2 linked regions of the Rattus norvegicus genome follow. The main gene of each other region encodes a partner of the protein of the gene in region 2 in a complex. Links are inferred from orthologs where the notes say so. Each region holds a gene or a part of one and is shown on either strand. Other genes may lie near its edges.

What was found. Proteins that work in one complex are often made in the same cells at the same time.
Region 1: Tfdp2 (region 2) and E2f4 share a complex: the UniProt entries of both Homo sapiens proteins name them as parts of the DRTF1/E2F transcription factor complex. The link is inferred for Rattus norvegicus from reciprocal best matches to the Homo sapiens genes TFDP2 and E2F4.

Annotation. Positions count from the first base shown.
Region 1 is NC_086037.1:50,082,983-50,087,552, reverse strand, and holds the start of E2f4 (transcription factor E2F4), read right to left. Parts: upstream 3,219-4,570; 5' UTR 3,133-3,218; coding exon 2,998-3,132; intron 2,596-2,997; coding exon 2,486-2,595; intron 2,361-2,485; coding exon 2,199-2,360; intron 1,909-2,198; coding exon 1,865-1,908; intron 1,039-1,864; coding exon 977-1,038; intron 779-976; coding exon 481-778; intron 1-480. UniProt on the Homo sapiens protein: Transcription activator that binds DNA cooperatively with DP proteins through the E2 recognition site, 5'-TTTC[CG]CGC-3' found in the promoter region of a number of genes whose products are involved in cell cycle regulation or in DNA replication.
Region 2 is NC_086026.1:105,705,064-105,709,545, reverse strand, and holds the start of Tfdp2 (transcription factor Dp-2), read right to left. Parts: upstream 3,014-4,482; 5' UTR 2,979-3,013; coding exon of another isoform or gene 2,948-2,978; intron 2,654-2,947; exon of another isoform or gene 2,526-2,653; intron 2,265-2,525; exon of another isoform or gene 2,231-2,264; intron 1-2,230. UniProt on the Homo sapiens protein: Can stimulate E2F-dependent transcription.

The DNA of each region.
Region 1 (4,570 bases), on a different chromosome or scaffold from region 2:
AAGCACTAGAAAACATCATTAAAGATAGAGCACATGTCCTGGAGGAGGGAGACTCATGGGGTTGCCAGGATCCATCAGACACTGTCCAATCTGGGATAAACTACCCTACTAATGCTGCCTATATAGTCAAAGCTTCCTTGTTAGAAAGGGCATATTCAGGCAAGTGAGATCCTCGTGAATTAAGACACTCATGGACAAACCTGACCTGAGTTCAAATCCCAGAAATATGAAAGGAGAGAACCAATTCTTTCAAGTTGTCATCTGATCACCTCTGACCTCTACATGCATCCTGTAGCATGTGTCCCCCTCACAAATAAATGAACAGAGTAATTTAAAGGGGCACATTCATTGTAACTCCAAGGAAAGCTAAGTGGGGACCCCAGGAACTTCTAATTCTCAGTATAGCATGCCATGACACAGTTTCTTGTAGGCTCCAAAAAATAAAAAAATAATCCATCACACCTTACCATAGTGTCTCACCTGCAATCTCAGCTGTCTGGCCTGCCACATCTGAGACTTCAGTGCTGCCAAGGACAGGAGTGGGGGTAGTTATCTGGGGGCTGCTTGGACGAGAGGTTTCTTGGGGATGAGCTAAGGCAGGCTTGGGCAGAGGTGGAGGTGTAGACACAGCAGGTGGGCTCTGGAGTAGATCGTCAGGGGGAGGTACGGGCACAGCCACAGGTGGTGAACTCCAGGCCTCCTTGTTCACTAGCAGGACCTCAATGGGACCACTCATGCTCTTTAAGTGAATCTGGTACTTCTTCTGACCATTGAGACCCTGGGAACAAACAGAATTGCAAGCAGGCGTAGCTCCTGCCTGACTGGCTCAGAGCCACACTGTCCTCTCCTCATCTGCCAATCCACCTAGATAACCCTAAACTCCAGGCCTCCCCTACCTGCCCCACCCAGAACTTATCAAGCTTCACAGCCAGTATCCACCCTCAGTTGACACTGCCTTGCAGGGATGAGCACCTACCTCTGGGATGGGCACCTCCAGGCTGGTGCCCGATGGGGCTCGGATAGCAAGGAGGGTATCTCCTAGAATAACAAGGAGAATGTGTCAGGGCCCATGAGCTCATTCAAGTATCTGTTCTTTTCCTGCCTTGTCTGGAGAAAGACAAGTGACCAGAGTCTCTAAGAGACTGAATATTAAGCCTCTACCATCCTAAAGCACTGGGTAAATTCTCTCCTCAAAACCTCATACTCAGTAACCAGAAAACCTCGATGCAAGCACACTTCTTTCTTTCTCCTTTTTGAGGCAGGGTATTTTTATGTAGCCTTGGCTGTCCTGGAACTTGCAAAGTAGACCAGGTTAACCTCAAACTCAAAGATCTGCCCTCCTTTGCCTCCCAAGTGCTGGGATTAAGTATACTTATATTCTGGAATGAGGTCACCAGCCACAGGTACCACCACCTCACTCCTCAAATGATGCTGATTCCTAGAAACAGATGTTCTGACCAAGTTTTTCCAAGACACAAGGAATATCTAATAAATGGTTCCTATATGCACAATGGAACTAAGTACAAATTATAAACGGACACCACCGACCCCTGCATACAAGTATGTAAGATTGTGCACACAAATCTACATGTACAAATTCTCTTTTCCTCTGTGCCACCATTATGCACAAGAACCAAACCCAGAGAACATTGCTGATGAGGGCAAACCTAGGGGACTCTTGTACCCTATGGGTCTCTAAAGAGTCCCAGTGACTTCCAAACTGAGACTTGCTGCCTGGCTTCGGAGTCGGAACTCTGAACCTTCAAGAGTCGGAACTTCTTTTTTGGGCAGTGGACCTAACACTGGGAGCTCCATGGCTTCACTCAGTCCCATCCCTGCCTCCCTCTAACCAGGCTCTGCTCACCAGCAAAGCACCTGCAGATGTCTTCATGAGTCACGTAGGCCAAGGTGTGGGGGTTAAGGAGAACAGCTGATGCCTTTACCACGCCAGATCACAGAAGAGACCCAATGCCTATGCCTATGCCTGCCACACAGCCCTCAGAGGAAATTCTGGAACCTGGGGTCCAAGTGGGTAAGGATCATGGGCTAAGACTGGAAGAGACCAGAGCCTCATGTCTGAATCTGACCAGGGGTTGCAGGCTCATTCTTTCAAGAGGTAAAGGGCCCAGAGCTCTACAGAGCAAAAGCAGCTGAGAGCCCCTTGCCCACTCTCCAGGGCAGGGTCTGCCAGAGGATATCAGCTGTTCTGGACGTCCTCTGCGACATTCCGGATGCTCTGCTGCACCCACACCTTGTGCTGGTCAAGTTCTTGCTCCCGCTGCTGTAGCTCCTCGATCTCTGCCTTGAGCTCAATCAGTTTGTCGGCAATCTCCCGGGTATTGCAACCTGGCCCGACGCCCCTGAACCACAGGAGTGAGAGACTGAGTGGGATCCTTAAGAACTCTGGGTCCCTGCCCTCTTCTCTCTCCGATGACCATCATCCCACACCCCTGACACTTCTGCCCTCCCAAACATCCCTACTCACTTCCACTGGATGCTGTTCTTGGATTTTTTCTCGATCAGACCAATACCTTCCAACACGTTGGTGATGTCGTAAATCCGCCGTTTCTGGCGTACAGCAAGAGTGTCGGCTGCCTGGCAGGTAGAAGAGAATGGAGAATGCTAGCCCCACTCCTAAGTGTGCACCCTGATTCATTTAGTTTGGAATGGGGGTAGTCTTGTTTCCCAACCCTGGAGTTCCTTCCAATTACTCCAGGAGTGTGTTGGGAAGTCTTGGGAAGAGTTGTGTTCTGATATTCTGATGCTCGTTTCCCTGTACTAGTCACGAAGGGCCACGAGGGCCAGCACCTGCAACCCGGACCTAGACAGAGATGAGGCTCAATGGCTTCAGTGAATGAAAATAACCTCCCGCCTCTCTCGTGTGAGAAAGCACACTGATGGCGGCCAGAGGACTCAGTGGGGCCGCCCCGCTGGTTCCCGCTACTGGTCCAGGCCTGGTCCACCATCTCCCCAGTCGCCCCTCCGCCCGGTCCGCACCAACTTGAGGTCAAGCACGCCGTCCTTGGCTTCCTGCAGAAGCGACACGAACTTGGTGGTGAGAAGTCCCAGACTCTTCTCGTGCCGGCTTGGAGTACCCGGGGGCGGCGGCGCCTGTGGCCCGGCCTCCGCCATCGCGCCTGCCCGCCCGCCAGCCTCCCCTCAGCCAGGCCAGGCCAGGCCGGCGGCGGCACCACTTCCGCTTCCGTTCCTAGTCGCCGGGCCACCGGAGCTATCATTGCTGCTTCCGCTTCCGTCTCGCGCCTTCCCAGGGTATCTGGTGCAATTCCTATCTGTAGATCTTGACGCAAAATTTTGGGGACCATTGACAAATGTACCATTTGCAAAGGAAACGAAAACAACTCCTCAGGACAGCTAAGAAACCTGAAAAATTGTATCGTAGGAAATGGAGGAGGTTAGTGAGCAGTAATGAAGAGGGACCACCCGAATATTCCTTGCTAACTTGCTCCCAAACTACTAACTGCCTGAACACTCCATCTAGCAAAGGGAAGCCATAAGCCACAAGCTTATCCTATTTACTTAAAACTGATCCTAAAGGCTTCTCTGCTGTTCTGAGATAATTCCTGTTGTTCCTGTCAGAACTGCAAGCACTAACAATAAATAGCTTGCTTCGGACTTCTACTATCTACTCTTATTTAGTTCCAGCATTATTTTTCTCTGGCCTCCATGCTACATACAGTTCACAGTGACCTGGAGTCTTGTTTCCAACCACTACTTAGTCCGTGCAAAGGTACTTGCCTGTGTGTGAATATGAGCAAAGCCTTTAAGGCAAGTTTCTGACATATGGGAAGAACTGTATGTTTGCAAGTCTCATTTATCTTTCGATTTTTAAAGGTTTTTATTTTTAATCATTATTTTGATGATGGTGATGGTGGTGGTGGTGGTGGTGGTGGTGGTGGTGGTGGTGGTGGTGGTGATGATGGTGTGTGTATGTGTATGTTTGGGCGCATGTGCACAGGTGCTCAGGTGCTCAGGGAGGGTTAGAAGAGGGTGTCAGATATTTGGGAGCTGGAACTAACAGGCATTTATTAGCTACCAGGTAGGTGCTAGAAATCAAAGTCCTGCAAGAGGAGCAAGTGCTCTTGATCTCTGAGCCATCTTGCCACTTGGCAAGTCTTACTTATTTTTAACATTATCACTTATGGTTATGTCTTTATGGTGGTCAGTTCCTCTTGGACACAAATTCACACTCGTAAGAGAGTAAAACAGGCAGAATTCAGAAGATCTAGTTATAATGGGGCCTGAAATTGGGGTAGTCTTCCTGAGGTATTCATGCTCAGCAAGGATACTTATAGAGGCCTTTGGATATCAATACTGACTCAGAACTTTAGCTTTTCTGGCAGCTTGGAAATGAGGGTCTATTCTGATGGGTAGATTTGGATGGTGCAACATTATCATCGTCTAGTGTCATCTGTGGCTCCCTATCACTTACAGGAACAATATAACCTTTTTTTTTAAGATTTATTTATTATATAGACTGTATTTTTTTTTTTTTTTGGTTCTTTTTTTCGGAGCTGGGGACCGAACCCAGGGCCTTGCGCTTCCTAGGTAA
Region 2 (4,482 bases):
AAAAAAAAATCAAAAGCTAAAATCAAACCCAAACCAAAAAAGGCTAACTTTAAGAGAAGTATAAAGAGGCCCAAGACATGCATAGCTCTGTGGATAAGGCGTCTTTTCCTCAAGGCTGATGACCTGAGTTCAATCTCAGGACCCAGGAGCCATGTAAAGTTGGGGGAAGAGAGCTGACCCCACATGTGTGCTACGGCATTCATGGTCCATCCCAGTAATAACAGTAAAAATTTTAAGAAAAGTATAATGGCTGAAAGGATACAGTTCAATGGTAGCATGTGTGTCTAGGTTCAGTCACTCACAGTACCAAGATAAAAGACCCCCATAAAGTTAGATGGGAGTGGTGGCCTATTTCTATCATCTTAGCGCTCCAGGGACAGAAGCAGGAGGATCAACCGTTCTAGGTCAGGTCCATCATGGTGGCTTACACCTTTAAAGCCAGCATGAGGGAAGTCGATCTGAGTTCCACGCCAGTCAGACCTACATAGTGAGACCCTACACTTGCCTTCCCCTCAATAGTTCAGCCTGAGCCACATACACATAGCTTCCCCACCCAGAAAGAGTAGCTGTAATACATGTACGTGCAAATTATATACGATCACAGAATTCCCTCTGTGTTACTTATGAAAAGAAAGGTTTTGGGCTGGAGATTTAGCTCAGTGGTAGAGCGCTTACCTAGGAAGCGCAAGGCCCTGGGTTCGGTCCCCAGCTCCGAAAAAAAGAACCAAAAAAAAAAAAAAAAAGAAAGGTTTTTACTTTATTCATAATGAATTTGATGAATAAAAACTTTTTAAAAATATATGACTGCTTTTATTACATACATATTATCTTCCTTCCTGTTCTTTCCAGTGAATAAACATCACCCTTTTCTCCATGAGTAACCTAAGCTGACGATTTTTTTCACGGACAAACTGCAACTTATCACTTCAATCATCAAAACATTTCTTCCATATTTCTCATCCAGAAAATCCTTGGAATAAGTCTCATGTTTCTTGTAGACATGGCCTATCAACACGGACAACTGTTTCCTACTCCATTTGAAGCCTTTGTGACTACTGTACAATTATAAACTTCTGCAACTAAGCATTTTCTATATATTTTATTTGACTTTGGGCTTTACGAGTTATATCCAGTATGTTTTATTTCCTATAATTTAAATGCACTAAAACTTTCTCCTATTTTCATTACACAATTCTTAAAGTTTCTTTTTAAAAGCTGCTTTAACAGAAACTTATACTCATTCTTGTTATGTTGATTCTCAAATCTGACTATAAAGGATGAATTTTAAATAAATGATAAACAGCTGTTTTATTTATTCACCATTTAGGTCGGATTTATGACCCCTCTCTCCTCATTTCAGCTACTGTTGAATTTTGAATGAAACAACTTCAATTGTAACAGAAGAAACATCTGTTGCTTCTTTTTCTTCATCAGGGCTTTCCTAACTGAAAGAAAGGCTCTCTGCCCCTCTCCAACTCCCCCTCCCTATCCACACTGAGTTCCTTAAACTTCTTTCTTTAAATTCATTTGAAGTAAATTACTTAAAATATTGTCATAGCCATTAAAGTATTATAGCTAACAAAAACATTTATTCCCTTATTAAAGCAAAAAAAAAATGTTTTTAAAAACCCAAGATATGTGCTCCACAGAATATAAGCTGTAACCGTAACACAGACTTCAAGGGTGCACTCGAAATGATCGACTCAATCAAGCTGTTACACATTCGTGGCTCACTAAGAATTGTTAGGAATAGGATTTTCTTCACAGTATCCAGACTCTGTAGCGCTCCTTGTGTGCTGTATTTTCTTTGCCAATCCAAAGCTAACATAACGGCAGTCACCACCCCGAGAGGCAGACACCAAATGGTGCCACCCCCTCTCACACGGCGCCTCATAATAAACCATCAAGCAGTGGAATGCACCGGCTCCTTTATGAGCAAACAATGCCGGAGCTTCATTAGAATACAGCTGACATTTTCAAAGCACAAATACTTTGAAGAAAATTGTACTAGGGAAAAAAAGGAATGAAATAACTACAAAGGCTGAATTTTTTTCATGTGTCAGGTTGATTTCTAAAGATTCTGAGGAAGTATACTTCAATGTTGACAATTTAAAAGTTTTCATAAATGGAAAAATATTCAATAAGAGGAAACCTTATTTTATTTACTGGAAAAAAATGAAAGTAAAAGCTACCACTAGAATTGCTTCCACGAGGAATAACTATGAAGTACCTTTAAAATGATGGATGTCTGCAACTGCTTCTTTAACTCCTAAATAGAGAAAGCTGAATTCCAGAATTATCTCTGCATTGTAATTAATTTATATAAATAGCTGAGGATAAACTAGGATAACTACCCCTCCCCCACCCTACCCCCATGCTCTGTAGGTTTTCTATCTGTAACCAGCAAGGACGTCTTGAGATCAGCATGTTCCTGGCTACTTTTCTATTTAGCCTGGCAGCTGCTTAAGAAATAAAAACGCAGTAAAAACTCCCGGGGTTGTGAGAAACAGACTGGTCTCTCTTACCTGGTCTAAGGAAGCATGCCTCTCACTGCAGTACCAACAACACTCTACAGTCTTTGTTACCATTCAGTGGAAACTTGAGACTGTGTCAGACGTAAGCAATCGAGCTCAGACAAGCTCAACTTAAAATACTTCTCAATAAAACTAAAAAGATGCTCAAGAAAACCGGTCAAGATGTGTGCTACCACCCAAGAAAGAAAGACACATCCAAAAAAAAAACCAAAAAAACCTCAAAACCCAGTGCTAAGAAAGGAGCTTTTCTGCATGGAGCTTGGCTTTCTTGCTAAATTACAAAGGCTTCTTAAAATTAGGGGAAAAAAAAAAAAAAGCTTAAAGGTAAAAAGTGATAAAATGCCTAAATCTAAGCTATCTTTTTTCTAAATGCCATTTGAATTTTAAGTAATTTAAGAATAAAATTAACTTACTCACAAGACCTGCATAGTTGGAATTGTACATGTCCGACTGTCTGCGGGCTCCAAGGCAGTCAGTCACAAAGCAGAGGACCTTACTGCATTTTGAAAGCAGAGCAAATGCACCATGAATTTCCCAGAAAAAGGGGAGGAGAAACTCCTGAAAAACTGCTCAGAGCTTTCTGAGCTTGGTGAAACTGTCCAGCCCTTGTGGGAGGGAAGAGTCCTGTCCTGCCCCTGAGATAGGCCCTACTTCAACGCCAAAGTGATTGACAGGCTCATTTCTGATATCAACAAAGAGCAGCTGAGCTGTGCTGTTTGCCCTCCCACTTCCCACAGTTAGTCTTCAACTTTCTGGGTTGGTCCTTTTACATCTAGGGTAAGTACCTTTCTCCATTTTCTCAAGAGAGCAACAATTATTTTGACCTATTTTTAAACACTTAATTAAAGTTACATACCTAATCATCTTACTCAACTTTCCAACACAGGAAATTTAACAAAAGATGACCTTTTAAAGTTCATTTCCAAGTCTACTCTTTGCAATGTCAGATAACTATAAGATTAGCTACCAATATTAATAAACCTTTGCTGCAATAATATTACAAATAAGGCAATAAAAATAAAATTTCCAACTGGCGAGATATAAAAAAATAATAAACTAAAGCAGTTATCTGTGACTATGTAAGTTTAAAAGAAGCAATTCCATCAACAAGCATTTACTGACTACTGATCATAGCCAAGTGCTATCTTCAGGCCTGGGGATGCAGTAATAGTGAAAGCATTCAAAAGTCAAACTAAAATCCCTGTCTCCAGTGGACTTAGCACCTTGTCACGTCTCTGATCCCAGAGAGTTCCACAATCCAACATGACTAAGGTGGTCAGTCTGTCTCTTATCATACATCACCTACACTGGAAAAATTCCCCTCTGAAAGTAAGGTTTTCTTGCTTCTTTGTTGGCTTTTCTCTACTCAGAGCTGGACAGTGATTAAAGTTCAAATATAATTTACCTTGTATATTTTTTGGGACAGGCTCCTTCTTTGTAGCCCAGGCTGAACTACAACATGCAGAAATGCTATCACAGCCTCCTAAGTGTTGCAATGACAGGGTTGAGCCACCAAATGCATTTTTTAATGTATTCTTGACAACAGCTCCAGGAAGGAAAGAATTTTGTGCTTTGCTTTTATTTCTGCATTCTCAACATCTTAAACACTACATGTCTGACATTCCGATCAAGATTGACTGGAAGAGACTAGATTATTTTTTATTCTAATTTGTCTTTTGCTAACACATATTACACTAAATGCACACAGACATGTGCCAACAATGATATAGCATACGGTATGAATTAGCTCGTTTTTTAAAAATCTGAAAATACACCTGTAGAACCTCGAATCTTTTCATTCTACTATCTTAAGGTACCATGGTGTGTCTACTCACTGTACCTGGGCAATCTGTTAAAATTCAATGAACTGGGGCCAGGATGGCTCAGTGATAGGAGCACTTGCTGCACTTTGTAAGGATCCAGGTTTGGTTCCCAAGCTCGATTTCCA